Danio rerio: one gene and its partner. The protein of the gene in region 2 interacts with the protein of the main gene of each other region in a biochemical or structural test. Links are inferred from orthologs where the notes say so. Each region holds a gene or a part of one and is shown on either strand. Other genes may lie near its edges.

What was found.
Region 1: of the proteins of hdac5 (region 2) and sik2b, one has a biochemical effect on the other in vitro, tested with the Homo sapiens proteins (2 studies listed by BioGRID). The link is inferred for Danio rerio from reciprocal best matches to the Homo sapiens genes HDAC5 and SIK2.

What each region holds. Positions count from the first base shown.
Region 1 is NC_133190.1:24,253,431-24,257,262, forward strand, and holds part of sik2b (serine/threonine-protein kinase SIK2), read right to left. Parts: coding exon 3,666-3,832; intron 3,573-3,665; coding exon 3,288-3,572; intron 1,468-3,287; coding exon 1,307-1,467; intron 1-1,306. UniProt on the Homo sapiens protein: Serine/threonine-protein kinase that plays a role in many biological processes such as fatty acid oxidation, autophagy, immune response or glucose metabolism.
Region 2 is NC_133178.1:21,696,081-21,699,912, reverse strand, and holds part of hdac5 (histone deacetylase 5), read right to left. Parts: intron 3,155-3,832; coding exon 3,042-3,154; intron 330-3,041; coding exon 210-329; intron 1-209. UniProt on the Homo sapiens protein: Responsible for the deacetylation of lysine residues on the N-terminal part of the core histones (H2A, H2B, H3 and H4).

The DNA of each region.
Region 1 (3,832 bases), on a different chromosome or scaffold from region 2:
GATTTTTTTTCCAAAAACATGGATAGTTAATAAAAGCATTTATCATTTTTAAAGGAAGAATGTAATTGTTTAAATGGTTTTAGTAAATAGTGTTTAAGTCACGTGAACCCGCTCTTTGAAGTAGCTGGTTTATACTTCCACGGCCACATCTGATCTCTGGTCAAGAAGGACTATAAACCCATTCTTGAGCTTTACTTTTGACGATTACACTGACAATGATTGTAAGCTGCGCCAGAGATGCCTTGAGATGGCATTTTTTCCTTTACAGTAAAATACTTGTTTACAGAAGATGCAAGAAATGCACTGTTTAAAATATTATTTACAGGATATGCAAGAGTTGATTTAGAAGATATATTTATGCAAGTTATTTAGGCAATGTATGCTTTAATTTCAGTTGTTTAATGTTGATGTTCAATTAATAATCATTGATAGTAGATCATTATTGATAGTAGTGTGTGTTTCCTTCAATAATTTTAAAATCAAGTAATGCATCCTTTATTCAAAAATCTCTCACTTGTAATATGTGAGCACATTTACTGTAGAAAACTTCACCGTGATCTATGAGGGCAAAAAAAATAAATAAAATAAATAAAAATAAAAAATAAATAATAATAGTTAACCGAGTTAAAATGTTTAATTAATCGAGATGTTGATTTTAAGCCAAATTGCCCAGCCCTATGTAAAAATCATCTTTAATCAAATGACATTTAAATATTTTCCCCATAAAATGATTCCTTGATGCCATGAATGTAAATGACACAGTGGTAAATAATCTTATATTGACTATTGCTGTTAGTGATTTGTGAGTTAGTGAATGTATTGAAATTCTAAAAGGACAGTTGCCTAGAAAAGAGTGCTGCTGTTATAATCACAAAAAAACTGTCAGTCGGTGACTATGTACATCGCAACATCACAAAATTCTGTTATTAAAGTGCTTTTATATAATGTTCTGTAAAAAAAAGTTAATCTCCTATTTACATAAGAGAACAAGTCAGCACTGTTCAAAACTCCAGCATTTTGATCAGTAAATGTAAATGCCTCTGATGGCCATTGTATCGAAGTAAATGAATGAACATTAAAATGTACTGGTAATTTACTTTTCATTTTATGTTTGGCTAAACAAAGTAATTTGCCTGCATTAACTCATTTGCAAACTAACTTCATTGTCTTTAAGTTCATAAAGAACAACAAAAAAAGATAGATGTTTTAAATACACCTTTTCTGCTGCCTGATTGTACGGCATACTACAAAAAAGTGACAGGTTAAGCCAAATCTGTAAATCTAGTATCTCTCCTGGTGGACTGACCTGTAGTGCAGGGTCCAGTAAGCCATGTGGATGGGCCTGAGGGCTCAGCAGCCCCAGGGATGGGGTTTCTCCAGAGCCCATCTGCGCGTACACCTTATTTAGCTCCAGGATACCTTTGGTACGTGCCAGATTCTGTAGGTGCTGTCTAAAGGCCACCAAGCCTACACAGAGAGAGGAATAAGATTATGAATAATAGCAGTGTTATTTCCGAATGATTTACAGATCATCAGACGTTCTGCCCTTAGTGTCTACATCCATGTGTGGTCATGTATTTTCAGATGGGAGTGTCAGAACTGAGGAAGTGACTCTTGTTCCCTGAAGCCCACACCACCTCTGACTGCTCCGGTGCACCACTACCACGTGACCTCACTTAACACGGCTAATCAGTCTATTTCAGGACAAGATATGTCCAGGCAGGGCTGCAAATGCTTTATTCATCGCTCAAGTACACATTAAAATGCCGTTTAGTGGCTCTTGACTCCTCTGCTGCCTATCGGAAGAGGGTAGATGGGTTGATTCTTAGGTTATTTTAGGGCTTCAAGTGATTAAGGGTAATTATTCAGGCCACAGGATGAGAGAACTCAATAGGACTGACTTGGCCTAATCTTCAAAGGGTTCTCTGATTCACACAATGAATCATCTGACAGGGGGTGGCGCATTTAGAGGAGGAAAACAAGAGAGAAACAGGGAGGGAGGGAAAGGGTGTGAAAAAAATAATAAGTGTGAGAAAATGAGAAGGAAGAGCAGAAAAATGTATTACTTTTTATATTTTTTTATATCTAATGCACATATAACAGTACAAATGTTAAAATGACTGTGATTATTAGTAAACATGTAAAATTTTACACTTGTTAAGAACATTAACATTTAATGTTAATCTATCATGTAATGTTTTTTATTTCTAATTTTGAACTATTTTTAAAATAGAAATAATATTACCAGCTGACAAATGTCACATGATTCTTCAGGAATCATAATCATTCCAAGATGCTGATTTGATGCTGAAGAAACATTTCTTCTGATTCTGATAGCTGCTAAATATTTTATTATGTATATATTTTTCAATGAAACGCAGCAAATTAAATCCCATATGAATTGGAAGTTACTGCAGACTTTTAAGTATGACGACATATTTCCAACTCAAATATTAAGGGTGTGGGGTTTTACTTTTGCAATTCTCCTCTCATTTTTCACTTGCAGCAAAGGAATGATTTGAGGGTGTTGCTAAGCATATCTCGCCCCAGGCCATCAAACTGATGTCATTCCAGAGGAGAAGCAAATGGTTAGATTTTGATTACAAACTCTTTACTTTCAGTGTAGGGCAGAGATGCCCAAACTAGGGCCTGCAGGCCAAAGTTGGCGCCTTCATGCCATCTGAGAATGGTTTAGAGAATATCATTTTAGATTTATTGTAACCTTATACTTGTTTGTTTTATAGTTAAGCTTCAATCTGAAATGGAACGTTTTAATGCAAACAGTGTAAATTTAATAAGATTTAGTTTAAAATGTACACTTGACGGAGAGAGGACAATGCAGAGACTTTGTTGAGCGAATCAAGGCAAAGACTCTCTGAATCCTAGTGTGTTCAGCATTGAACTCCACTGTGTTATAAATGTGTTGCCATAAGTTATAAAAGTTCAAAGATTCAAAATAATGCTTTCTATTTATTTTTTTAACGTTATGAAATTAATTAGAAAATTACCCATGGTGTTTTTTTAAATGTAAAACAGTTTGGTATACTTTTATTTGACCCACAGCTATTAGTAATATTTGGTTTTTGATCCTTCATTCGACAAAGTTTGGGCACCCCTGGTGTAGGGACTAATTGTTCACTTTTCAAGACTAACAACGCGCTAGCAAAATGTTGTAAAGTTTGATTTCATCCAACCTTTGAACATCAGTGAGCAATCTCACTTAGGGCTGCACAATATGTAATTTTTGTAATACCATTTATTAAGTAAATATATTATATGCCCTTCACCTTGTGTGAGTGATGTGTCTGAAGCCCTGCGGCCCTCTCTGAAGCTGATGGGAGAGCGGTTGTGCGTTTCTCTCCTCTGGGTGCTCAGTGCCTGCATGGTGGGGTTCGCGGGCCGAGCACTGATGAACGGTGGAGTCAAGCGGGTCACTGGTGTGTTGGCCAGGACCACCTCATTAAGAGAGGGCCCGTCTTCAAGCAGACTGAGGTCACTGTGCATGGAGCCCATATCATACTCTGAGTCCACGCTACCCAGAGAGGGGTTATGACCCATGCTGAACAGTTTACCTGGGTAAAGAACAGGATGACATACTTTATAAAGCATTATTGAATTGTTGAATTAACATTTGCAGCATTAGTTTACTAATAAGCCACACTGACCTCCACTTGTAATGATCCCTGGCTGGTTGGTGACCTCAGATAGTGTGTGTCTGCGCTGACCAAAGCGGGCCGTCTGGTAGGCGTTAAAAACGTGGGTATGATCATCCTCTGTGTCTGGCTCCTCCGTTTCGATACCCTCATCTATAGACGTCTCCATCATGTTGCTG
Region 2 (3,832 bases):
AAATGTTTGCAAGCAGACTAGTAAACTTCGATGGTGTGCTTCTGACTTTCAAAACACACTTTCACATGAACCAAACTGACAGGTCTAAACCTACAGCTCTAGTTGAGAATGCACCATAATGATCCACTAGGATTCAGTCTACACCATTTGTGAACTCTGAATCACCTTAACAATCAAAACTCCACCAAGCTTTAGCAAAGGACACTCACCGTGATGTGGGCGTTGGCAGGCAGTCCCAGGGAGATGTTGGGCAAAGATGGAGAAGTGTAGAGGCTTAGGGGACTCGGTGCCCCATCGCCAGTCAAAGACTGATGCAGAGAACGTAACTGCTGTCGTAAGAGAAACGGAGAGAGAGAGATATGAGTCCCTCAGGACAAACAACAGGCCTGCATTTCAGGATGTACACTTCAAACAGCCCAACTCTAAGGAAAGAAGCTGTTTTATCTCAGGAAGGAATCCCAGACAAGAAGTCTCCGCATGGCTCGATCACTTAAAAGAGTTTTTCTTTGGAAATCCTCACTAAGTTTTATTTTTGATAGGGAACGAAGCATGTGGGAATGGCTAATCTGTATTTGGGTTTGGATCAATGCCACATGAAGATGGCAACCGATTCAGGAAATGGACTAAGCAGTTATGAGGATAATTAAAATGGGTTTTGCACAGAGTCTTTATTCTAATTTCTAATGAGCAAAAAATGACCCAAAAGAGAGCTAAGTGAGAAATGCGGAGGTGTTCCTGAGTGCTGGTAATCCCATCATCTAACCCTAGACTTGGAGTGCAGCCATTTTTAAAGGCGAAGAACAAAAACTAATGGATCTGCTTTACAAGGCAACATTTATTCATCCCCAAAGACCCAATTTAAGCTTTTCATTATGAGCTGTTCATTGAGCTGCGTCATTCTCACTCTGACGCAAAGGTTAAGAAAAGACAAGGAAGCAAAAGACAAAGCAGACATTCAATGGCAGAGCGCTGTACCTGCAGTGGCAATGATGTCAGCATTCTATTCTCCGTCGCATTTATCCATCATTTCTCCCGGGGTTGTACTGCTAGGCTACAGAGGCTCTGGAATAACAATCTAAGACTATTTTGGGGAGTGGTACGTAGCTTTTGAACGCCAGATAGAGCTAATGAGGTGATTCTTAAGTCATCTCCACAGGCGCTATTTGATGGGATCCTTTTCTGTGGTTGATGAGTCTGATGAAAGATCTATTCCAGCACACCCCATGCAAAGGGAAGCTAAAATCACATGATTTCTATCATGAAAATACAGGTCATGGAAAAACCCAACACATAATGTACCACTAGCTAAACCATTATGTAAAAATCATGTATGAATATGGTTGATTTTTTTTTGCCAATCATGCAAAACACCCCATATTTAGACTATAATACAACCAAAGCAGTACAACATAATATGAGTAATTGTATATATATTAAAGGTACATTTGTTGCCAAAAGTGATGTCTAGAGGGTTCACTAAAGTATTACTTGCATAAGGTACTTAATTGTCAAAGATATTTGTAAATAACATCATACGACATAAATAGTTATTTATACTTAGTAATTAATACTTCATTGGTTCTCCATGAGCCATCCACTGATGCACTCCTAAATAACAATGCTTCCTTGCATTATCACAAAACAACTATGAAATGTAAATAAAAAAACCTCAATTATCATCCATGTGTATGAAACAAGGCTTAAAAATAGGGATGGGTACCGAAGCTCTGTATTTTATCGGTATCGGTGCTACATTACAAAAGGCCGAAGTATTGATAAGTACTTATTCTGCTATCAGTACTGGGGAATTATTGCTGAATAATCATTACTTACAGTAGCATAATTTAACTGACCAACCTTTTCTAATTATCAATATTTGATATTCGTTAGCTCAGTTAAGAAATTTCACATAAGAAATGCTTGTGCTTCTGTATAAAAGCCTTCACAGTTTTCAGCTATGCGCACGCACTCAGTGGAGGCTCGCGCGATACGCACAAACATAGCTCGCAACACAGACTTGCGCACACACAGCTTGCAAGCTTGCGGAGTGAACCAAATGGGTTGTGTTTCCCGAGTGGACAGCGACAATGCCCGTCGCAATAAACGTAACAAGTTGTTTTCTTGTATAGGCGGAAACGCAAGCAATCTGGCTGAGTGAAAGAAGATCTTTTAAAGAATATCTTTCAAAAGTATAACATTAATAGTTAAATAAACACACACATTCGGTTTCCAAAAAACAGTATTTAATCTTAAACATTAAAAATGCTTTTACATCAGCTGTATTGACAAATATAGCCTATGGATTGCCTAATAATAAACCATGCTTACTAAGAAATTATAAAAAAAAAAGCTCATTTTTACATAATAGAATATATATATATATATATATATATATTCTATTATTTATAATCTAATAAACCAACATGTGGTCATTTATAATTATAACATATTTGTATTTTAATAAAAAATTTACTATTAAGATTATTTTATCTCTCTCAAAAAATAATTATTCAAGACAAAAAGCCAAATACATTGCACATGAAGCAATTACATGAATTATTCAGCATAATTATATGCATTTTAAATGCAAGATCAATGTAAAATAAAATGCCAAATATTTGTCTAACAAAAGTGTTTTGCTTTGCATTTAGCGACTAAGTCATCCAAAAATCAAACACAAGCTCATTCAAATCCTGTGTTCTGCCTCTACAGCTTTAAGCCTTTTCTGGCATGTGCACACTCAATTTCACTCTCTCCAGCTCTCAAGGTTAAGGTGATCCTTAAGACTAGCTGTTTAGCATGCAGAGGTGACCCTAAGCAGCTTCCGGTTGTCCATCCAGAGCAGTTGCGGCCATTCTAGAACCCATAGCAACAACTTCAAAACTGATTCCCAGAACGTGTTTTTTTTTTTTTCTTCGAGATTAACCAGTATTAGCCCAGGCCATCACAATTTATTGAGTCTTTTTCATTACTAAACTATTGAGAAACGAGTAAAATGCGTGAACAGAAGTGAAGGAAATGTGTGGGGGTAGGTCTCTCACCTCAGCGTGGATGTTTGGGACGGATCCGCTGGATCCATTCTCAGCAATGGCACAGTTTGAGCTGTTAGGAGAGCTGGGACCAGAGCCAGGAGCACTGCTGCACATAGAGGACACTGAAAACACACACACACACACAAACACACACACACACACATTTCAACAATCACATTTTAGCTGCATCATTACAAAATATCGCTGAGGATTTCACTAGATTTAGTGATTGATTGAACCCGCTTTAATGCATCAGCAGGATGTAAAACGGTTCCCTTCCTCTGAGCTGTTTTTATATTAGCAGCACAGATATCACACAATACCAGAGCCTTCATTATTCCTGTTTGCAAATCTTCACACTTCTCATCTGACGGCAGAGGTTTGTTTTTCACAGGCCTGTTTGAACAACTCAGGTGCTGATGCAACCCCAAAATTACATCTTCAATAGAAACTTTCTGTTCTGTGAAGCTAAAAGCACAACTATTTTTGATATAGTTGTGCATATGATAAGAACTACAGTACCACCTGGATTTTTCTATTCATTTATATTACTAAGGCGCTGCTAGTCGGTTGCTAGGGTGTTCTAGGTGGTTGCTAAGGCGTTCTGATTGGTTGCTAGAGTGTTCAAGGTGCTTGCTAAGGCGTTGCTAGGCTGGTCTAGTTAGTTACTAAGATGTTGCTAGGTTGTTGCTAAGGATTTCTGAATGGTTGCTAGGTAGTTGCTAGGATAGTCTAGTTAGTTACTATGGTGTTGCTAGGTCGTTGCTAAAGTGTTGTTAGGTGGTTGCTAAAGCATTGCT